Arabidopsis thaliana: one gene and its partner. The protein of the gene in region 2 purifies or fractionates together with the protein of the main gene of each other region. This does not show direct contact. Each region holds a gene or a part of one and is shown on either strand. Other genes may lie near its edges. The genes, in order: AT3G07660 and AT3G13990.

What was found.
Region 1: the proteins of AT3G13990 (region 2) and AT3G07660 fractionate together in Arabidopsis thaliana (co-fractionation; one large-scale study listed by BioGRID). This does not show direct contact.

What each region holds. Positions count from the first base shown.
Region 1 is NC_003074.8:2,442,049-2,454,533, forward strand, and holds AT3G07660 (flocculation protein (DUF1296)), read right to left. Parts: upstream 8,612-12,485; 5' UTR 8,325-8,611; coding exon 8,159-8,324; intron 7,513-8,158; coding exon 7,469-7,512; intron 7,355-7,468; coding exon 7,249-7,354; intron 6,945-7,248; coding exon 6,830-6,944; intron 6,654-6,829; coding exon 6,184-6,653; intron 5,960-6,183; coding exon 5,572-5,959; intron 5,056-5,571; coding exon 4,761-5,055; intron 4,585-4,760; coding exon 4,426-4,584; intron 4,098-4,425; coding exon 3,600-4,097; intron 3,512-3,599; coding exon 3,227-3,511; 3' UTR 2,640-3,226; downstream 1-2,639. Other genes in the region: COL9 (CONSTANS-like 9), read left to right, coding at 446-973, 1,075-1,245, 1,339-1,628, 1,724-1,853; AT3G07670 (Rubisco methyltransferase family protein), read left to right, coding at 9,603-9,986, 10,148-10,311, 10,390-10,473, 10,622-10,679, 10,834-10,887, 11,136-11,207, 11,309-11,389, 11,572-11,744 and 4 more.
Region 2 is NC_003074.8:4,622,738-4,634,656, forward strand, and holds AT3G13990 (dentin sialophosphoprotein, putative (DUF1296)), read right to left. Parts: upstream 7,877-11,919; 5' UTR 7,647-7,876; coding exon 7,469-7,646; intron 7,100-7,468; coding exon 7,056-7,099; intron 6,682-7,055; coding exon 6,510-6,681; intron 6,171-6,509; coding exon 6,038-6,170; intron 5,632-6,037; coding exon 5,105-5,631; intron 4,904-5,104; coding exon 4,564-4,903; intron 4,467-4,563; coding exon 4,205-4,466; intron 4,125-4,204; coding exon 4,029-4,124; intron 3,863-4,028; coding exon 3,401-3,862; intron 3,304-3,400; coding exon 2,971-3,303; 3' UTR 2,646-2,970; downstream 1-2,645. Other genes in the region: ATBRXL2 (DZC (Disease resistance/zinc finger/chromosome condensation-like region) domain containing protein), read right to left, coding at 8,433-8,511, 8,595-8,986, 9,084-9,219, 9,904-10,283, 10,479-10,616.

The DNA of each region.
Region 1 (12,485 bases), 2.2 Mb from region 2:
ATTGATCCAAAAGTTTTCGTTATTTATTGGAAATTCAGATTTTTTCGATTCAGTTCCATTTGAACTAGTAAGTCAAACAAAATCTCTAGATTTACTGATCTGGGGTTTATACTTTGAAGCTTGAGTTGTTGTTGTTTTATTAATTTATTTCGATTTTCAGTAATATCCATTTGTAGGTTTTGGTCTCTGACTCTTGTTTATAATAAAAGCTCTGTATTGAGTAAAATCTCATGAAAGTAGGTTTCCTTTCCCTTTTTTATCCTTCTCCTTTGGTTATTAATCTCCTACAACCTTTTTTTAGAAATTACTACCTATATTCAGAAAGATTCCATCTATTTCTTCTTCAAGGCTTGCTTTTTTGAACCAAAAGTCTCTCTCTTTTTCATCTAATAATTTGTTTACTTTTTTGGACAGCAGAAAGTTGATTTGGTCAGAGCCAAGGAAGATGGGTTACATGTGTGACTTCTGTGGTGAACAAAGATCTATGGTGTACTGTCGATCCGATGCAGCTTGTTTGTGTCTCTCCTGTGACCGGAGTGTTCATTCCGCTAATGCATTGTCCAAACGACATTCTCGGACACTTGTCTGCGAGAGATGCAATGCTCAGCCTGCTACTGTCAGGTGTGTTGAAGAAAGGGTTTCACTCTGTCAAAACTGTGACTGGTCTGGCCACAACAACAGCAACAACAACAATTCTTCGTCTTCTTCTACTTCGCCGCAGCAGCATAAGAGGCAAACCATAAGTTGCTATTCGGGTTGCCCTTCCAGCTCAGAACTCGCTTCCATTTGGTCTTTCTGTTTGGACTTAGCTGGACAATCTATTTGTGAACAAGAACTGGGTATGATGAATATAGACGATGATGGTCCTACCGACAAGAAAACTTGTAATGAGGATAAGAAAGATGTCTTGGTTGGATCCTCTTCAATTCCTGAAACCAGTTCTGTACCACAAGGAAAATCATCTTCTGCTAAGGTAACTTTTTTTCTCAATATGTTATTACTTTTGCATCCATGGATATACATATCTATCATTTCTTTACTAAATTCAGAGTTGTTGTTTGTTTTGGTTTAAAGGATGTTGGAATGTGTGAAGATGACTTCTACGGGAACCTTGGTATGGATGAAGTTGACATGGCACTTGAGAACTATGAAGAACTCTTTGGTACCGCCTTTAACCCCTCTGAAGAGCTATTCGGGCATGGTGGAATCGATAGCCTTTTCCATAAGCACCAAACAGCTCCAGAGGTTTTTATCCATTACCCTTTCTTCTTAGATTTATCAAATTGGATGCATCTCTGTGTGATTCTAATAATGCTCTCTTGTTTTTGCTCAATCCAGGGAGGGAATTCGGTGCAGCCAGCAGGCAGTAATGATTCGTTCATGAGTTCGAAAACTGAGCCAATAATTTGCTTCGCATCGAAGCCAGCACATTCGAACATATCCTTCTCTGGAGTCACTGGAGAAAGTAGTGCTGGAGATTTCCAAGAATGTGGTGCATCATCTTCCATACAGCTCTCGGGGGAGCCACCATGGTATCCTCCAACATTACAGGATAACAATGCCTGCTCACATTCAGTAACCCGTAATAACGCAGTTATGCGTTACAAGGAGAAGAAGAAGGCTCGCAAGTAAGTAGTAGTCTGAAACTGCAAATACATGAGCATCATTGAAGTGAGTGCAGGATTTTCCTAATGTGACTCTGGCTTCTTTTTTCTGGAAACAGGTTTGATAAGAGAGTGAGGTATGCTTCCCGCAAAGCAAGAGCTGATGTGAGACGGCGTGTAAAGGGGCGATTTGTCAAAGCTGGTGAAGCTTATGATTACGACCCTCTCACCCCAACCAGAAGTTATTGAAGACTCCTTTTGAAAGGTACATAGATATATATACATGGCGAAGAATCGAACAAGAAAGGTTTTGACTTATGGGCAGTTTCAAGTGAGCAACTTGGAAAATTGTGGGTTAGTAACAAAACAAGACTACTGTAGCATGAACAGATTTCAAGACTGACTCTTGTAAGCAATCATTCATTCTTGGGATTCAATCGTTTTTTTTGGCCTCAGAAGCTTCATTCTTGACCAGAGGGATTATTCTCTGACTTTCCTTGTCCAAACTCCGGTTTCTTCTTCTTCTTCTTCAGGCGTCTCACACTGATCAGGGTTCCATGAATTTTGTTCTTCTCTTGGTAGTTAAAAAGGCAGGGAAGGAGATTTAGAGTAATTTAAACAATATGTGATTGTTGTATATGCCTTTGTATTTGTTTGTATACTCATAAATGTTTTTCTGTTTTGTACTCGGCATTCTTGTAAATTAAAGACATTATCCACATTCTTCTATAGACAAAGAAAGTTATGTGGTACCACTTAACCTAAGTCTCGTTCTGTAACAACCGACTAGTACTAGTTCAAGTTTAACGAGATTTTGGTTTGTAGTAACTTCAAGAGGTTGATCCAACAATGAGGCAATGCAAAACATCTGAACTTTATTATTTAAATGTCAGATTATAAAGGGGAGTCCATTTATGTGAGTTTAGGCGCTTTATCGCTGTTTACTTAAACTTAGCTTCTACTATGTCAATTTTGAACACTTATCAAAAGTGATTGAGATGCAAAACAGTAGTTTTCAAGATGACATATGGACCAAAAGTTTTTAACATTTATATTTGGAGTATTTCGGATTTTACAACTTAATGTGAATTTTCTTGAAGACTCATATTCACAAGCCTTAATTTTCGAATTGAGGAATAAACATTCAGAGAAAGTTGATTCGCGAGCAAGAAATTTGTCCAATTTGATTGCTGACTCGGATTTGAAAACATTGACCAAAGGCTAAGAAAAGAAGGAAGAGAGGAAGAGTCTTCAGATACAGACTCAGGTAGCAAAGTTCTTGTCTTAGCTCAGAAACTTAAAAAGAGAGCTAAAAAAGACCTCTTAAAAGCTAAGAAAGAAAAAAATTTGCTAAATCAAAAGAAAAAAAAAAAGATATAGAAAACACCAAAACACTGGTTTCATACAATACCTTTCCCTACCCTTATGATCATTCTCTCTGTAAATCTCCTTCATGCTTAAGCCTTCAACTTCATAGCTTCATCTCTTTGGTAATTTGTTAGATGGCACACACACACACACGCAAGTCAACAAAAACCCGCACCCATATATCTTTCCTGATTTCTCTGGAATTTGAAACTTGTTGAATCTTCAAAATCTTTTTCTCCTTTATACTTCCTGTTTCAGTAATTACTTGGCCAATTCATCTGTGTTTGCTGAGGCTGTTGGAAAACGTTAGGCGCAGGTGCAACCATTTCAGCTCCAGCCACACCTTGAGACTGTTGTAAAAGCGGATGATGGACTCCTGTTGCTGTTACTGCTTGTCCCGGATGGTACATACCTGGGAATGCGACGTGACCAGCTTGTGCTGGAGCATAAGTCACGTGTTGCCCATGGTGCTGTAAACCATAGAAAGAGCTTGGCACATCTCGTCCTGGTCCAGTAATCCATACAGGTAATGCTTCACTCTGCAGAGACCCCACAATTATAAATTAATCAGGAAAGGGAACTAAACTTTCAACTGAGTTGGTTTTGGGAGGGAGAGGGAATATGTACCTGTTGCCCTGTTGTACTGTAGCCGTTGTTTTCTTTCAACTGCAATGAGTTGAGATCCTCATTGGAAGTCGAATTCCCGGCCGATGCAGCAGAGGTGGGATTATATCCTGCTGGGAAAGACCCATATGTTGGTCCATACCCACCAGTAATACCGACATGAGTCATGTTTCCTGTATTAGTCCCAGGCTTGTAATGAGGGAGTGTGTATTTGCCTCCTGTTGCAGTTCCAGGAGGTGGAGGATATACACCGCTTGCCTGAGGTTGCTGAGCATATGCACCATTGCTTAAGTATTGGTGCATTGTAGGGGGAGGTAAATAGAATGGGGAGAAGTATCCATATGGCACGTAGTTTGGTGGATAATGCGACATATGTAAGCCCGGAGGGCGGAAAACAGGAACAGGCTGCTGCGTGACAGGTATAGAGCTCTGCATTAGTCCAGCAGCTTGAGTTACCAGTGGTGGTGGACTAGCAGTAGACAGGACCAAGTTATTTCCACCCTACAAATCAACATGTTCAAGCATTTCAGACCAGAAAAGTAATAATAACAGCTATATTTTTATCTTTCAAACGTGTTATAGGGCTTCTGAACATATAAATATGCAGTCCAATTAGAAACCATAGGTTTACTTCAATTTTATCAAGAAGAAAAAATGAGACTTAGATCCAAGTAGCTGACATGAAAATTTGACTATTTGATTGATGATGCTACTGTTGGAAGATTGAATTAAACGAAAAAGTCTCAAAACCATCTTAAATTAGATCAAAATCGTGAAGGTGTGAATTATAAAATAAAATAAAAGGTTAACCCCCAAAAACTACACTAACCTCTTGCATGGTTTGAGATGAATGCGGAGGCAATACTGTAATCCCATTAAATTTGGAGGCAACCCCTGGGGAAACGAAGGGAGAAACACGGCCATCACTGTCAGGACCTGAGCGGTAGAACTGAGCATAGTAGCTCGCCGTATCAAAAGGTTGTTGGCCCTTCAAACAACAAAAGTATAGTTCATTACGAAGACATATTAGAGGTGACAATGCCTAAAAATTATATAATGAGCAAAATGTTACTGATCAATGAAGAGTATAAGCTAAGTATAATTAATGGTTTAAGTAGATCAACCATTCGAAAACTTGACAACTTAATGTAATTAAGGGCATACCATAAAACTGGGAAGACGAAGGGCATCACGTGCTTGAGGGTCAGAAGTCTCAAATTGTGGATGCTGGTTCCCAGGAGCTGGAGGAACAATCCCAATAATATTACTTGGAACCTGGTCAAACGAGTTTTGATTGCTTTCGGACTCCAACATATTCTCCTGCTTGGTGACATCATACTCTGGAGCTGTATTTGTTGCAGTATTACCTTCACCAGCCATATTATCTGGAACTTGTGAAGGTGACTCGGAGTAAACATTACCGTCCTCTTCTTTTTCAATCGAATGGACAGTTGGGTGCCTGAATGCATAAAAAAAGTTTCGCTTAGGGACTGGTCATATAAATATAGTTATATTTCAAGACATAAAGTTCAATAACTAGAAGTGAAAAAATTTGGGTTTCGTGTTCGGATAAGTGTTCATAATGTAAAGGTTATCATGACTTCCAGAAAATCAGTGACTGCACAAAATGTTTTACTTTCTGTTTGGAACTTAAGAGCCAAGCAGGACAAAGAGTTGTTTCTATGAACAAAACCCACTTAACTATTGACACTATCAGTTCAACTGACACCCTACACAGCATGACAAAAAGATATATATTTTGTTGACCTAGAACCTGATATACACCGTAGTGCTTTGGAAGTTTCGGCTATGCTACTAAGCAAAACAAGCGACTACACTAGGAAATTTCTCTTACCTATTTCCATCAGTAATCTATTATTCACAACTTCTTTCTAGCTCATTTCACTCTAAATTTAGAGTATTTATTCGCATAACAACATCAACAATAATTGACAAAGTAGAGAAAGGTAGATACCTAAATTCCTCCTCTGCAAAACTTTCTTCAACTTCCTGCGAATTATGAGAAAGAGGTGCAGATCTCTTTTCACTCTGAGGAAAGGCTACTGTGCTAGACGTAATAGAAAAGTCAGCATCAAAGCTTCCAAAGCTTAACTTGGTTCGTTCAGCCTCTGGAACAAGAATATGGTTTGGAATAATAACATGCTGACGTTGAATCTGCAAGTCTTCAAGCTGTCTCTGCAATCTGGATGTGGCTTCTGCCGAAGGGGTAGCATCTTCAACTGATTTGTCACTGGCTTCAGTAGGAACTGCAAGAGTTTCACCTGTAGATGATGCACCAGAGCCCTGGGTAGTGTTATGGTTCACTACTGGCTTCGGTTTCCATTCCTTAATGGAACCAGCACCTAGAAACAAGTATCATTGACATAAAGATGTCAGAAGATTCCAGTCTTGTGCAAATAAAAAAACAAAAGAAATACAATAATGAAGAACTGCAGCAGACAAAAAGTGTTTCCTGTAAAAGCAAGTCCCGCTGTATGCACATTTTATCATCTGGAATATGTACTATATGTTTCTTATCACAGATAGTAGAAATCCAGTACAGCAAAAATAAATGTATCACTGTTACCTCTTTGAGGACCGACAGTCTGATGTGACCGATTACTGTAGTTAGAAGAAGGCCGACTACCCGTGCTGTTGCTATGAGATGAAGCAGGCCTTGAACCATAAGTATCATTCACGGCAGTCTTCCCAACCCCACGGGATCTGGTATGGGACTTGCTTTCTCCAATGTGCTGTTCAGGTGCTGTTTGCTCTGATTTGGGATTTGAAGATGTGAATCGAACTTCAGAAGAGGATGGACGAGGGAGTGGCAGAGAATCAACTGCCTTCTGCTCAGTATGCACAACCCTAGAGCCAACTGCTACACGATTTTTGCTTAATTCCACAGAAGACGGTGCACCATCAATGTTGTTTGAGGGCACTGAAGATCGGCCAGCTTTAAGTTGACCTGAACCAGCTGGTAGGTTGGAAGACTGGCGAACATCAGAGCTTCCTGATTTCGGACCAACAGTACTTTTATCCATCACAGCAGAATGGCTGTAAACCAAAAAACACAAAACAAAAATCATGAGAAGGATCATCTATAGAGTATATCCATGCTGGAAAAAGGCCCACCCATCTTTAACTGAGGGTGTTATACATCCACCTATAAGTCACATAGAATCAAGGAGAATGATACATAAAAGGAATTAGTACTATAGGATGACAATCACCTTGAGACCAGAGCTATATCTTTCGTTTTTATCTCTTGAGAGGTTGAAGTTGATGGATCAATAACCTGCTTTGGACCGTTTTCTTTTTTGAAAGAATTCTTTGCACCAGCAACATCTGATCAGAAGTAAACATTCACCACACAGTTCATCAATTACAGAAAAATTAAAAAGCAACATGTTACAGACTGCCGCTAGGGAACTTTCTCTTTCACATTCTTTCGCTAAACATACTAAAAGCCAATCATGAACACAACTAGTATGTCCTAGGAGGAAAATCAGGAAAGAATCAATACTGAGTAAATATAACAAAAAGTATTGTGACCGCAAGTAACCACCTTCCAGAGACAACTAATGTGGCATATTAAGAGATGCGAGTTCATATGATTGTAAAACATTGAGTTCATCAGATTGTTATTTACCATTTGATGCATGACGAGAAGAGAAATTCATCCGACCACCCCTGCTACCACGGCCCCCTCCACCAGATCTCCATTGTGATTCAGCAGAATCCTTGTTGTTGATGTTCTGTACCATTTCAATAACATTGTCAATACCCATGTCCCAAATATATGCGGTTTAATAGACATCCTTTACACAGAAACCCATGAAGAGACCAAAAGAACTGCAAAAACCCCATACCTCTTTCCTCTTATCACGCTTTTTTTTAACCTCATGGAATGGATCTGCAGAGTCATAAACAATTTTTTGCATTAGCACATAAGATTGTATAGAAAAACACAACAAAAAAAAACTTAAAACATATCCTAGCAACCATCTCTAAATTACATGGTACACAAGCAGGTTACATGAAGCACTCGAAAAGCCTGATGCAATACCACATCTCCAAAGAATCCTATTTTCATAACAATTTGTTTTGGTAAGATGATGAAAATGTGGATTTCTAAGCACTAGATTCATCTACAACGCAGCAGTCTTTGTTTAGAACTCATACCTAGCAAAAGTATTATTCCTAGACAAACCACTCAGAAAAATTCTAGTTAGAAGCTAATTCTCTTTGTTTCACACATCACTAGTGTAAGTAATTGATTCCCGTATATTCCAAATCAATTCGTGAACCTTTTTTTGTGAAAAGGAGGTTACAACACAATATCACATAAACAACTAGAGACAGCTTAAAACTTAATAGGCGAAGAAACCGATGATAGTGAATTCAGATAAAATCTGAAAAAAAAAAATCAAAGAGCAGAGAAATCAGATGCTAAAACCTAAGTTACAGGAGAAAACCCCAAATCGAAAAATACAATCTCGATCCAATCAAAGAAGAGAAATTAGGTAAAGAAAAAAGTGCAGAGAAGGTCGAGATTATACCCTGAAGAAGTAAGCGTTGAGCGGTCTCATCAGGATCCATGTTACATTCATGAAGCATTGCGATAATCTCATCCTCGCTATAGTTCCCAGCAGTGGTCTCCTTAATGTTCTGAATCATCTTCCGAGTAGTAGCCGAAATCGAAACCCTAGCGCCACTGCCGACCATCCTCTCTTCTATCAAACGTAAAATCTCGCTTCTGATATTTTAACAGGAATCGAAATCTGGACCTAGACCAAAAGAGGTCTGAGTACCTATATATGTATACGAAGAGGCGAGTGATAAATCAGTACGAGAGGATGGGATTTGAAACTAGTTTGGGTCGACGAAGGAGAAGAAGAAAGAAGAAGGAACAAGAAAAAAAAAAAAAAAAGAGGAAGGGGGCGAGAGAAAGGAATGAGCAAAATAATACGCACTGTGATTTTGGAAGCGTAGGGCTCTCTTTTCTTTTTTCAATTTTGTTTTGCATTCCTTTGTAGCTTTTTAATATTGAGTTTTTTTGTTTGTTTTAATCTGAATCTTTGGTAAATAATGATAACCAAATTGTTGTCACAATCTTTTTTTGTCCACAAATATATTTAAATTAGGATTTAGGATATCTTCTGAATATTTACACTACATAATAATGACAAACATAAAACATAGTATTTAAGAAAATAAGAAGAAGATAAGTTTTGATTGTAACTTGATCATATTAAATCTCAACTATCTCAAACGATGTTACCCATATCATTATGAGATGAGCGATTTAATGATTAGCATATTATTATTTATATTTTTACATCTCAGTAACGTATTATTGTTTTCTATGTAAATATTTAAATTATCAAATAATTATAATACGTTATTATTATCCCCACCATGATAATTACATATATATTTAATTTACTGAATAAGTTTATTTTTTTTGTCTTTGGTAATTTCTTTTACAATACCAAATTAAAATATTTTAAAAATTGGATTTCAAAAACATAATGAGTTATATGGTTGTCCAAATATTTACCAGGTCCAGTACGCTTTTAGCATTATTAATAGCAATTAGCAACTCTAGGGATTGTCATTTACATAAACAAATCTTCAATTTTTTCATTAATTTTCCTGTGTTTTGGGTCCCTATTGCTTCTAAATTCTAATAAACCGTCCAGATATTGCTGTTATGGAAACAATTTTTCAATAAATCTCATCAACTGATTCTATCAAAATCTAATCACTAGGCTTTTTCCCATTAGCATTAGCGCATAACAAAGTTTTGAATATTAATATCATTATCCATAGGCAGCTTAGATTTTTTTTCCTTAGCATCAAATTAAACTCAAAACCGAACCAAACCGTAAATCCACAAACTAATTTTGGTTCGAATTTAAAAACATTATCTTTTAATTTTGTCATGCCCCCTCTGCTAAGTGCAACCATTCGTCTTCTCGCTTCATCGTTTTCTCTTTTCCGATGGCAAAAGCTTGCCTCTTGCAGTCTACTCTACTCCCAGCTTACTCTCCACTTCACAAACTTCGTAATCAAAACATCACCCTCTCTTTCTCACCGCTTCCGCTGTCCCGATGCCGTCCCGGAATCCACTGCTCAGTTTCGGCCGGTGAGACTACAATACAATCCATGGAGGAAGCTCCGAAGATATCATGGGGATGCGAGATTGATTCACTTGAGAACGCTACTTCTCTTCAGAACTGGCTCTCTGATTCAGGTCTCCCTCCGCAGAAAATGGCTATTGATAGAGTCGACATCGGTGAGCGAGGCCTCGTCGCTTCACAGAATCTCAGAAAAGGAGAGAAATTGCTCTTCGTTCCTCCTTCTCTCGTCATCAGTGCTGATTCCGTAAGTTCACACTCCTAATTTCACTCGGAATCAAAGAATCTAATCTTATATTCCTTGATCTCACTTGCAAGCAATCCCTCACCTCTTGTTCAGATCAATGCAAGGTTAAAGTATCTGGCTTTCATGAATGTGAATATCTAATATCGGAGATTGGGTTTTAGGAATGGACCAACGCAGAAGCTGGTGAAGTGATGAAACGTTATGATGTTCCAGATTGGCCTTTGCTCGCCACTTATCTTATAAGTGAAGCAAGTCTTCAGAAAAGCTCAAGATGGTTTAACTATATCTCAGCTCTTCCCCGACAACCTTACTCGCTTTTATACTGGTAAGTTTTGTACTTGTTTCTGTAGCTGAACTTTGGTCTCAGTTTCTTACTCCCTACAGCCTTTTTGTACTATTTCAGGACTCGGACAGAGCTTGATATGTACTTGGAAGCTTCTCAGATTCGAGAACGGGCAATTGAAAGAATCACCAATGTTGTTGGAACGTGAGATATTGTTCTTTCTTTCTTTCTTTCTCTCAACTGCTGGAAATCATTGATGCAGTCACTAGTACTTATTGTTTGTAGGCTAGGGGGTTGATGATTATGTCTTGCAAGACACTGCTCATGTCTTTTTCCTTTTTCTTTTCCTCAGTTATGAAGATCTAAGAAGCAGGATATTTTCCAAACACCCTCAACTTTTCCCTAAAGAGGTAACTGGTATACGCCCATTTTGCTACAGCTTACTATTTGGACATGTAATAAGATGCACTTCTGTAATTACAACTAGTGTTGGTTCTATTTTATTATCTGAGCTTAAATTTGTTTTGTCCACATGTATATGAGTGTGCTATTTCTTGGTTGCAGGTTTTCAATGATGAGACATTTAAGTGGTCTTTTGGAATCCTATTCTCACGGTTGGTAAGAACTACTGTATCATAAGCAATCATTATCTTGATAATTGATGTAAATCTAGATGTCTTGAATTTGAAACAACAGACTTGTTCTTTAATCTTAGCATGACTTTCTGCATAATATAGCTGTCTCCAACAATTTATTGTTTGAACAATGACCACTCACAACCAAAATATTGCATTATTTCGTTTCTCTTTCCTTCCGTGTGCTGCGTGCTTGTCTCTGCAATTCAGACTTAAGCTTCTCTAACACAGGTGCGGTTGCCTTCTATGGATGGAAGATTTGCCTTAGTTCCATGGGCAGATATGCTTAATCATAATTGTGAGGTACTTCTACTTATCTTTATGACCAATTAGCTCCTAGATTCTCCTAATCAGAAAGCATGATTGACTTATGGTAATCAATATTTCAAAATCTGCTTGGAAAGGTTGAGACGTTCCTGGATTATGATAAATCTTCAAAAGGAGTTGTCTTTACAACAGATCGACCATATCAACCAGGTGAGCAGGTAAATAAGATAAATTCATTCAGATAACCTGAGCGAGCATTGAAGTTTAATATAAGTCAGTGTATAACACAAAGAAGTCCCGTTTACACAGTTTGCCTTTTAGCGCTTCAGTAAGTCAGTCCAAAGTGGAACCAATGTTGTCTGAAGTCTCTGATATGTTTCAGTAACATGACATTGTGCAGGTTTTCATATCCTATGGGAATAAATCTAACGGAGAGCTATTGTTATCTTATGGGTTTGTTCCCAGAGAAGGAACCAATCCTAGTGATTCAGTAGAACTAGCATTATCACTTAGGAAAAACGATAAGTGTTACGAGGAAAAGCTGGATGCTTTAAAGAAACACGGATTATCGACGTATTCCATTCTCCACCATCCATGTTCCCCTCTCAAATTTGTAGATCTCTCTTGATTAACTTGAGTTTTGTTTTGATTGTTTGTGTTAACTTTTCTCTGGCAGACCTCAATGCTTTCCCGTAAGGATAACGGGTTGGCCAATGGAGCTAATGGCATATGCTTATCTTGTGGTGAGCCCTCCAGATATGAGAAACAACTTTGAAGAGGTTTGGCAACTCCATCTTGACCCTTTTTACCATCCAATTCTTCCCAAATTCATAATACATCTCTTATCAATTATTATCCATTTCAGATGGCGAAAGCTGCTTCAAATAAGACATCAACAAAGAATGATCTAAAATATCCTGAAATCGAGGAAGACGCATTGCAGTTCATACTGGACTCATGCGAAACAAGCATATCAAAGTACAGCCGATTTCTAAAGGTAAGTAACAAAACAGCTCATCTCTCTCTCTTTGTGGGAAAATTTTCACTCCATCTGCTTATAGTTTGCTTTGTCAATTATCTAATTGTAGGAAAGTGGATCAATGGATTTGGACATAACATCTCCAAAACAGTTGAACCGAAAAGCGTTTCTGAAACAGCTAGCTGTAGACTTGTCCACTAGTGAGCGCAGGATACTGTACCGTGCTCAATACGTAAGGAACAACTTTCTAGCCAATACGATAGATAAGAGTCTGTGGATCGATCCATGATATTGTGGAATCTGTGTTTTTTTTTTTGTTTTGTTTGGGTCAGATT
Region 2 (11,919 bases):
TGTCTTAATATTTAATTAAACGCAATATCAAATTCTCCGAAGTAAGTTTCAAATTAAATATTCTTACGCACACCATGGGACAAAATTAGTATAATTAGTCTCCACATGTAATGATATGTAAAGCTAATTGCTTATACGGTTTAGCTAACGGAAAGCGCTTTTGATACACAAAGAAGGAATATAAATACTAATGACTTTTTAGCCGCAAGATCTTTGGAAAATTATATAGTTTCGTTATCTCATATTTTTATTTTAATGGTGTTCTTAAATCTTAAGAGAAATTCCAATAATAGAATGATGCTAATAATGCATAAGCATGCGGTGCCTAGTTATATTGTTTTTTTTTTTTTGAGTGGTGTCGTTTGTGTAATATAGACAGGAGATCTAAAGTATTTTAGTAAATTTAAAATGTAAATCTCCCTTGCCAAATTAAATTTGGGTTTGAGATTTATGTCTGAATAATACAATGTTTAATACTTTAATTAGAGAATGTGTGCCAGGAAGAAGAATTCATGTTAAAAAGATGATGGCGCTCATTTGCAAAATGATTACTCCCGTGGCCTAAGGGAAACTCCATTTCTTTTTACTATAGTACATATGTTCATGAATCAATTGAAAAACAATTGAAACGAGTTATTTTTGTAAAGTAACTAGTTTTTTCTATAAAAAAAAGGAATATGGGAAATTCGACTATTGAATGCACACAACACAGGCATGTTATTTTTAATGAACGCCCCTTCGATTCCACGAAACTTCACATTCGTGGAGCTCTTCATTAAACGGACCCATCTTCTACAATTAATATCGATCCTCTGTGTGTGTGGAACCGTGAATGGGTATATATATATATTTGGAACCTTATATCAAAATGATTTAAATGAAAAGTGCGTTATAGTTCAAGACTTCAAGTAATGTTAAGTCTTAATAATTACTACATTTCATTGGGTAAATTTTACATGTTGTATAAAAATCGTCCATGTCAATCTTACAATCTCTCAAGTTTTGTAAATATATCGCATATCATATATGCTGTTGCGCAACAAAAAACAAATGGTTTTTTTTTTATATACATATGATATCATCTTATAACGCACACCATAGGCAGAAACAAAGAGATAAATAAAGAGAAAAGATCAAAAGAGCTACTATGTACAAATGAACAGAAGTTGCAGGGGATTCCACGCATGTGTGGATATGATAAACAAAAGAAAGACAAAAGATTCCGATCACATCATAATTGAGTTGGTGCATGCAATAGCAAAAGCAGATTCCATTTCAATCAAATAGCTAAAGAGCACACTCGTCCAAACTCTTTATGAGAAACGTTTGATTTTAATATTTTCCCTCTAACAGCCCAACAAACAAGAATATATACTTACTATTATGATACCATACAACAATGTTGTTGGTGTATATATCAGTCAGTGTATGGATATCTATAAATCACTCCATTATCTCTGATTTGACATGTCAGGTTCACAGTGACATACAACGTTTCAAACTTTTCATCGTTCATAGAAAACAATTTCCTACTATAAAAATTACGTGTCGAATTTACGCAAAATTTAGATGATTTGTAGGGAGAAATTCAAATCTTTATGATTCAATATTAACAAACCAGCCTTGATTTAACAGAAGTAGTAAGGAGTTAGGGGTCATGCTTGTAAATCTCTAAAACCGATCATGGGACCTTTTGACTTATTGAGGATAAGTAAACATAATTGATTTTCAATTAAATTTTGCTAATTCTTCTTATTTTCTTATAATCTTTCTACGAGATATATAGAATAGGGTCAAAAAGAGCTAACATTTCACATCATTATCCCTCTAACATGCGGGTTATCTTAAGTTATGAAGTATGAACCCTAAGCCTCTACTCTACTCTAGCTATAGTCTCAATCAAAAATTACTTTTTTAATTACAAAATCTCCTCAATCATTTTCAGTACCATTTTAAATCACAAAGAACAAATTTATAGAATTTTCAGAGAATCTCAAGCCAATCCTTACTTGTGCGGTAGGTGTTATCAATAGTGAAATTACGTTTAATAAAACCTAGACCGGTCAAAATGGGACAAATTAATAGAGTATTAGTGACTCAACATCATGGAGTCTCAAGAGATTCGTAGAGAGTAATCATTTCTCAATAAGGTAGGACTTAGGAGGCCTATTAAATCAGAGAAGGAATCAAAGTCCGTACCAATTAGGCTCTAAGTAAACTCTAGTTGGCTCCTTGATTAAGACCCACCTCCCCAAACTAAGTATATTTACTTTTCTAAATATGTCAACAAAACGATCAATTAGATTCTTTTGTTATGATGACACAGTGTGCTATGACACCTAAAAACTAAAGTAATCAAGGAGATAATCAAAACCTATAGGCCTGAGCTTCAACTAGTTCTCCGATTAAGAATATTTGTAATCTATTCTAAAGGCTAGAGGAAAGTTAGGTCAAGCTCAACAACTAATGATTCTCTATCAAGAATTTAATAAGGAATATGAGGAAATGGAGAGAGAAGACACATAACTCAAAGAAGAACATTGAACAGCTAAACAAAACACACAATTCTCTTTAATACTTGTAGAACATTGACAATGGGAAACACTAGCACCAAGCAACAATGTTTCACTCACAGGGTTCCACACTTAAAAACCTTCACATGCATTGTAGGGTTCTTGAAGTCGACCGAAACTATAATAGCAGTAAATGATTAAGAAGCACGGACAGGACTTTACCTTGACAATTTGACGCCATGGGAGAATAACACCATACCTGCAGCTGTAAATAATGAGGGGCTATGGAAGCAGACAAAGCATTTATAGACAAATTGTTGAGAGCTGGGAACATTTTATGCATTGAATAAATAAAGATTAATTAAAACAGAGTTTGGCGTTTCATAAGGAGAATCAAAATATTTGCTTTTGGCTATTATATAATCCATTAGACAAGAAGACAAAGGTTAGATTTTCTTCAGAAGTTTGATGGCCAATTCGGATGACCAAGTTGTGATTGCTGATAGGTACCAATTTGAGACGGAGGAGGAGAGGGAACGACACCGACTCCAACATTACCACTGAGGCCAGGTCCCATGTGGTGCGGATTCGCCATCGTACCAGGCTGTGACGGGTGGAAGAGACCCTGGAACTGCATGTGAGATGATTGCGCAGTTGGGTTGAACGATTGGTGTGCTGTATGGGATGATAAATAAGCACCATGAGGCGATTGTCCAGCTACGTTGTAATATGGAGACTGAAGGCTTGAAAGATCTCTTGGATTTTGCATCCATATCTCAGAAGTCTCAGCCTGTAGTGTTAGATAAGGAGACATGAATCAGAATAAAAAATAATTGGTAAAAACATAAAGTTCGGGCACAACTACCATACTTATCAATTATCATTACCTGAGGATTTGGAACGTAAATATTTCCATGTTTATTTATCATGCGAGATGGATCTTCAAGTCCCGTAGCGTTTCCAACTACATTGGGAGGATTAGTTGGATACCCATTAGGATTGTTGTAAGTCCCAAAACCCGCAGGTCCACCAGTTGGAACTGGTTTATATTGCTGATGGATTCCATACTTGACACCATTTGAACCGAGATGAGAACCGCCTCCAGGCATCAGCACATAGCTATTGCCATTTGAAGGGTGTGCATATGCTGCTGGGTTACCTGAGTAGCCTGGCATGGGCATTTGGGGAACATAGACTGGGGAAAGGAATTGACGATAAGGCATGAGATTGGGAAAATGCGAAACATGGACCTGCGGATACATCTGTTGCATTGATGCCTGCTGTTGTTGCTGTAACATGGGAATAGTGGATGGTGGGGCATTATTTAACATGTGAGCACTTAATCCCTGCTGCATTATCAAAAGGATACTTGATCAGTTTTTCCTAGTTAATAAAACAAAAAAGATAACTATGACACATGCACAAACCAACTGCTCAAACAGGAGCTAACTAGACTCTTACGCATCAACTCATGCTGGCAAACTAGTAACAACTAACAACAGAAACATAAATTACCTCGTGTGGAGATGGTAATCCTTGAACTCGTACAGTTTCATCCATTGCAGGACTAAAGTACGGAAATTCATAACTACCATGATTGTCATAAGCCTGCTGGAAAGGAAGAGCATGTCATTTTTGAATGAATTTATCTTTCCTTGATTTTTAAGAGTTAAAATTGCAAGAACCCTTACAGAAAATTTTTGCAACTCCGGAGGATCTTGCTGCTGTTCAAACTCCAAAGGAGTATAAGGTGGACCATTCCTATTGAGTAATTCAATCCCCGAGTACGCATCCAAATTGTCAGATCTATGAGTTTCTTTCTGTTCGGGTAACTGTGGCTCAGATACTGCCGAGACGGGTGAGTCAGATCTAGAAACTCTGACATGATCATCAATAGTGATAGGCAGAACGCCCGGACCATCTGCTGAAGCCTCAGGACAAGTAACTGGCGAACTGTCAACAATATCACCAAGTTAATTGGGGAAGATGCATGTGATCTCAAACTATATTCAAATGTACAAAAAAAAACCCACCAACTGTCAGAACTTACCTACGATCAGATTCTCTAACTTCTTCTGAAGAGTGTGATTCTTCGAAAGCAGATTCTGAATTCCTTGAGGAATTAAACTCTTGAACAAAGCTACCAAAAGTTAGCTGACAGCGGTCAGTCTCCGGGACACGAATATGATCTGCGATGATGACATTCTGACTTTCACTTATATGAACATGTGAAAGCTTATTCTGCAACTTGACGGCTTCTGTTTCCACATTTATGGAATTATCAGCAGGACGACGAGCTTGAGACTTTGTAGGTGTTCCAATTACTCCAGGGTTATGTCCAACAGGTTTCTGATTAGATTTAGGCTTCCACTCCTTGTTCTGTGAGGCTCCTGCAATAAGTACAGGTTGATCAAGAATATCAGAAGTCATGACAGGAAATGGCTTCTCACCAGGAATTCCCAATAGATTGAAAGAAGGGATTATATTACTCAAAGCAGAAGCTACACAGAAAATAAAGTGTCGCCTAGCAGAAATCAAATAAGAAATTGCACAACATCCATTCGGTTAATAAATATTTGCATATAAGTTACCCTTTGTATGGCCACCAACTTGTTGTGTTCTAGCATATTGGCTTCCTCTATTCCCACGCTGTCTGTTCAAATATGACCTATTCTTTTCCACTCCACTGGGCATAACAGACTCACGTGCAGTAGTTCGACTGTGATCAATCTTTGAAGTTGGGGAAGATGGTCGATGTGCATTTGGAGGTCCATTTTTTCTAATAGAGGACCCTGAAAAAGAGGGCACAGATGGATCTTTACCAACATTTTCAGAAGGTTTTCCACCTAAACCTCCACCCCTTACTTCACGTTTAATAGCTCCCACGGGTGATGATCTAGAAACAGGAGAAGGTACATGAACTGGATCTTTGGAAGACGAATATACACCAAGAACTGAATTGGTTGATGGCAAAGTAACTCCACCGAGTTCTTTATTGACAGGACAATGCAAAGGACGAATTTCAGCCTGTCTGAGCCTGGCATCTGCTGGAGCATTACACTCGTCAGTTGAATCTTGAGCCCCAGAAGAGTTACGATTGCCCAAACCACCTCTTGAGCTGGCAAACAGTTAAAATAGAGCGAAAATTTTATTTTCTTATTTAAATTCAGCATAGTTTTCTTGAAATTATGAGACAAGAAGTCCTTGTTGGGCTAGCAAAGGAATGCCTACCAAGTGAACATACACACTCCTATCTCCGTCTACCAAAACCCAATGGCAGTATGGCACAAAACTAATCTATGCTTCTTATTGTCTTAAAGAGTTCATTGACAAAAAAAAAAAAAAAAAAAAAGAGTCCTACTTTACTATTTTTTGGAAAAGTACAGCTAAAGCAAATTAACTCCCTTAAAATATTTTTACAAGAGTAACAAATCATTCTATTTCACATGTATAAAAGAAGGCAAGTTAGTGATAAAAATGCTAGAATAAGAACAATAGGATAAATTACAACTGATGATACATACCCCAATTTGTTCACAGTGGCAACCACTTTGTTAATATTTGATCCAGAGGACTGGGCAGAAGAATGCTTCAACTCTTCATCAACATTTGGATTAGACCTGTTGTCCCTAACAACGCGAAACTCTTTGTTGGATCCTGCACTAACATGAAACGAACAAATTACAAACAGACAGAAAAACATTTCTAGGTGAATATGGTCAATACATTACATAAAACTTGAAGGCCTCACGCCAATGGCCAATAACAAAGATTAAAAAAAAAAAACAAATCAACGCAAAACAATTTCTTCTACGTTTCCTTTGCTTGCCTGCATATATTTTTCTGGATTTAACCAAGTTCATTTGATACTGCCGTTATATAGATTATGTTTACGAACCATTCAAAAGACAGCTTAAAACAAATTAAAGATTTTTAGTACAACTGTACAAGCATGCGAAAGAAACTGGCAAGTATATCATCATCAAATTGATTTACCAGTAGCAGGATTTCTAGGAGATGCATTTCGTTGAGCAGCGTTCCTGGGGAAGAAATTCCTACTGTAGCCTCCTCTCCGAACATTATGTTCAGGCTGTGTACGAACTTTCACTTCACTGGTAACATTTTCAAGAGGTTTCTTTATGTTGGCAGGCTCAACAAATACTGTATCCTGAAACCAAAGGAACGCCCTAAAAATCAGAGGTTATACAAGAGGTGTCTTGATGATCTCTACAAATTCATCAAACTATTTGAATGGCTAGAAAAGTTGAAATTTTTTTTGACGATCAATTAAATTAGAAGGCACACAAAATACTAAACAAAACAAAAAAAAAATATAGCTTGCCACAGCAGACATCCGATGAGATATAATAGTCACACAAGCACAACTAACATTATGAAAAATCTAGTCACCTTCTTCAAATGCAGTTTCGAAAAGACTAAGGAGAGTCAAACAAAAAAACTACAATGTGGTTGCATTGGCAAAAATGTTAAAAAGGAGAAGAACTGGGAACAAGATACCATAACAGTTATATGTAACCTCACCTCTTTTTTCCTGTCTCTTTTTCTCTTCACCTCGTGAAATGGATCTGAACAAAACAAAAGCTTTTTAGCGAACCAAAACTATGATGGCAACAATAACACACATATTAGTCACCCAACGAAACGAGAGCCAAGAAAAGAAGACCAATAATATTTCAAGTATATAGTAATTGAAGTATTCTGAAGAGAATTGACAAATTATCGAAATGAAAACAAGAGTTATCCATCTATCGAATTATCAACAGAACTCCATCAAACGAAATTTGCATAACCTATCTACAGCATTCTACATACGCCTCAAACAAGATGTTGTAGCATTCATCGTGATCAAGATAATGCGGACCAGAGAACAAACAGTAAAACCCTAACTTCCGTCAAACTAGGAAAGCAGAAAAAGAGATGAAGAGAGAAGAAACCTTGATGAATCAGCTTCTCCACAGCCTCGTTAGCATCCATGTTAGCTTCTTTTAAGGCAGTGTAAATATCAGCATCGGAGTGACTATCCACAACTTCCTTAATCGATTGAATCATCTTTTTCGCTTCATCATCGAGTCCTACCCCACGATTACCGCTAGTTCTGGACCCAGTCACCATTACGGATCAAAGACGTATCGAATAAACCGAAACACACAAAAAACAAAGAAATTCAAGGATCGAGTAGCGAAACCAAGTGAGATCAGCGTAATCAAGGTAGATGCTAATGATTCGACTCTTAAACCCTAAAATCGGATAGAGCAACTACTAGGGTTTCGAGTACAGAGAAGAGGGAACGGCTTTAAGAGAACAAAAAAAAAAAAGAAGTTAGGATTTATTCTCACGCGTCGAAAAAATTGGTTCCAAATTCACTAATTGGATAAACCTAATTGACTATTTTACCCTTAATATAACTCAATAGAAAGATTAGTCAAAGGAGAAGTGAGAAATGGAAATTTCTAAGGAGATACAAGTTAGCTGGCAATTTAACTGGTTTTTACTTTATACATTTCTTATTCAGAACATTTAAGTACATGCCATAATTATTAGCACCAATCATGGTCAATATAATTAGAGAAAAAGTAATAAAGTGCACAAAGTGTAATTTTCAAATCCAATAATATGAATTTTCTTAGTATTAAACTATATACAGTACATTACCTTAAGAAAATAACACCAAGAAAATCCAGTAAAACTAATACCTCCTCTTTATAGATAGATGTAGATGAGAAAGAAGAGAAAGAGATGTACTAACAACCACCAACTAAAAAGCACATTCATTATCTGAATCCCAAGTTATTTCCATCACTCTGTAGCTTTTTTCCAAGTAAAACATATAAAAGAAAAGTGTTTTGTTTTGGTGTGTGTCAGATTCTTCTCTAGAGAGCCTTCGACCGTCATCGGTCATCACAAGTATTGTTGTTGTATCCGAGCTCTGTTCTGCTCCCACCACAATCTTGCATTCGTTTCCCCAAACTTCTCTCGGCTACAACCACAAAGACAATGTTGTTAAAGTGCTTGCTTTTGAAAGGGTTTTACTAAGGAACAGAGAAAGTAATGTATCTTTACCTGAAGCGAACACGCCTAAGCTCGCGAGTCCCATCTGGTAAAGCTCTGATTGTGATGTAAACACCTGCTTCGTCCTGTTCCACCCATTCTGTTTCAATGTCACTTGCATTACTTACAGATAGCTCCTCCCCTGAATGATCTGCTTCTTCTTCTTCCCTTGAGAAGCTACTTCTTGCAGACTCATCAACAGATGATGTCTCGGTTTTTGTCCCACTTATGCTAGAGAGTTTTGGTGTTGTAGCAAGACCAGATGAATCATGGTGTCGACTTTGTGTTTGGGTTGTTGGTTGGTGAGCGAGTGAGCCAGAAGAAGCGTAGCCTTTTCCTCGAGAGCATTCTTTGTTCAGAGGTGGAGTTGCAGGACCATTCTTGGTAGACTGAATTCGCGAGCTCTGGTATACCAAATTAAAACTAGTTAGACCTCAAAGTATCAAAGACAGGTTTTGATGAGTAGATTCATGTGTTCAGAAGTGAAGAGGGTGCATATACCCCATCTTCAGATCTAGGAGGAGTTGGAAGTGGGACGCTCTGCTGATTGAACTGCTGTACATTGTATAATTCCATGACCTTGTCGAAATTCTCCGCCCACCACTTTTGAGCTTGCCATTTATCGAACATTTCACGGCTGCAAGTAATACAAATTTGAAGAAATCAACAAATTAGGAGCTGACTTAACCATATACAATACAGAACCAAAGAGCTACCAGGTTAACAGTCTTAGGTTCACAAAACTCAAGGGATCTGCAGTAAATTGTCAAAACTAGAATCTAGAAATATCAATCCTAGGGAGCTGAAGTGTTCCTCTTGCCATGAAGAAAGTTAGTTAGATCATCTTGCTCTCATTATATGTTCCACATACAAAAAGAACTTTACGAAATTCACAAACACTTCCCCACACAATTGTCCTTGGGGAATTCATTTAAGTTCTCCATCGGATTCAACTACCGAAATATAACCCACATCTCAAAGACCTTTCTTGGCAAAAAGGATGTACAAGTTCTCATAATTATAAGAAATGGTTTGGGACCACTTCAATCGATTCAAGAAAAATGAAAGCAGCAACAGTTTCCAACACAGAAATCTCACATAATAATATCCTAAATATCAACTGTACTCTCACATTGCTTGTCTCCAAGAACCACACATCTCTACTTCCAAAATCAAATTAAACAATTTCAAAACAGTATGGATTAGTTCATTTGAGTATCATCTTCAATATTCCTGATTGGAAACATATTGTACCATCTTGATTAAGTCCAATATCCAAACTTTTACTTAGTGTAAATCCTACAAAACAGTTAAAAATTACCTGAACCGAATCCGCTTCATATCATTCCCTCCCTCAGGCAATGATACAAATGTGATGAGGACACCAGGCTCCACTTGAGCAACCCATTCCTTGAGCTCATCTTCTTCCTCCATGAACACTGTAGACTCTGTCCTACCACTCATGGATTCAGGTGTTCCTTCTCCACTCAAAAAACCTTTCAACCTTGACTCCATTTCCTTCCCCAAAATCTTCGGTGTTGAGCTTCCACTCCCCGCTCTCTTGTACGCATAACGAAACCTCCCAGAATTCGAAGCAACATCCGAATCAGCGTAGCTTCGGTTCTTATTCTGATTAGACGACCCAGAACACGGTTTGCAGCTTTTGTAAGCACCTGATGCTTTTACTGCCATGTCTTTAATCTGAAGATTCACATACAAGAATCACATGTTATTCACAAAATTAAATACACAGTGAAAAACATTCTGAAAGTCACGGACTTAAATTGATTTGTTCTTAGCTTCCAAACAGAAACCAACAAGAGCAAAAAATGGTCCTTTTCTCATTTGTGTTTTTTTTTCGTGAAAGTGACACAGAGGAAGAATGTTTATCTCTACCTGTGACGTCAGGGACTTAATCTGCTTAGACCTGGGTGTTTCAATAACTCTGTCTTCTTCTTCTTCATCCTCTTCTTGTTTCTTAGATCCACCATTGTTGGTGTTTAGCTGCTTCGTACAAGCTATGCATGTCAGCATCTCTATCACTCACTAAAGAGTTTCAATTTCGACCTGAGAATTTAGAAGAATGAAACCCAAGTCACTTCCTCCACCAAAAATAATCAAATCTAAGAAATGAGAACCCAAAAAGGCTCATAATTTGTACCTTTTTTTGCAACAGTAGTTACGCACTTCAACTTCTACCTTCCAATATATAAACTCAACACTCACTAAAGTCGATTGCTTTTCTCTCAACCACAGAGATTCAGATGTAAAACCCCACCGGTGAAATGACGGCGAAGGGAAGGAGGAGACCGTTGCGGCAGGGGAAAATTAGGGTACCAGGATCTGTAGATCAGACCTAGAAACGACTTCGCATTAAAGACTCTTCTTTTTTTTTAAACTCTCTGGGTCGGTTTACTTGTGGCTTGAAAGCTCTTATCAGAGAGATTGAGTGAGATACACTCTTAAATCTCAACACTTTATGAAATCCAAAGCCGAATGCAGAAGCAAAATGCAAAAAAGCTACGAATTTTTGGGGAGAGATAGAGAGAGAGAAGAGCTTTGATATTTGGGCTTTGAGATCGTCGGACACTGTGAAAGTTTGCGCACAAGTGTGGTGTTGTGTTCCTCCTCCTTCCTAATTCCTATATTAAACAAAAAAGCTCTACTCTTTTCTTTTTCTTCAGAGAAAAAAAAACAGTAATGGCTATTTTCAGATTCGTCTTTAAGTTTGATACTTATGGATTATTATGACCAAAACCAAAAAAAAACAAAAACGTAACACAGTTTTTACTAACATAGATTAACCAATTGAATAGTTCTACAGCTTTATTGCTATTTTTTAATATCCGCATTTTGTCAACTTTTGATTTATTATTTATATTAAATTACTTAGTTTTGAATCGTCTTGTATTTCATTTGCTAACATAACTAGTAGTATATTCTTCAATTTTACTGCTTTGAGAGTGAAGAAATCGGACCAAGAAAATTTCAAATGTTATTCTCTTCTTTATTTCCTAGTTTTTTTTCTTTATTCTCTTTTCCCTTTTCTTGCTTTTTTTTAAAAAAAAGAACAAATAAAACTATTTTCATAGAAATAATGAAGCCGTGCAAAATATCCATGGTGTGGCCACATATTGACACGTGCATTTTTAAATGATTTTGGCTGTCTAATTTTGCACCCAAATAAAGGAAAAGAAAAAGGAAACCAAATAACTAATCCATTTTGTTATCTGTCAATTTTCTCAATAACGAGTATTTCATAATTTAAGACAGTGACTCTGGGAAATGTGACAGAATGTTACTAGTTGGTAATTACTCCTAATTTATTCAAACATTT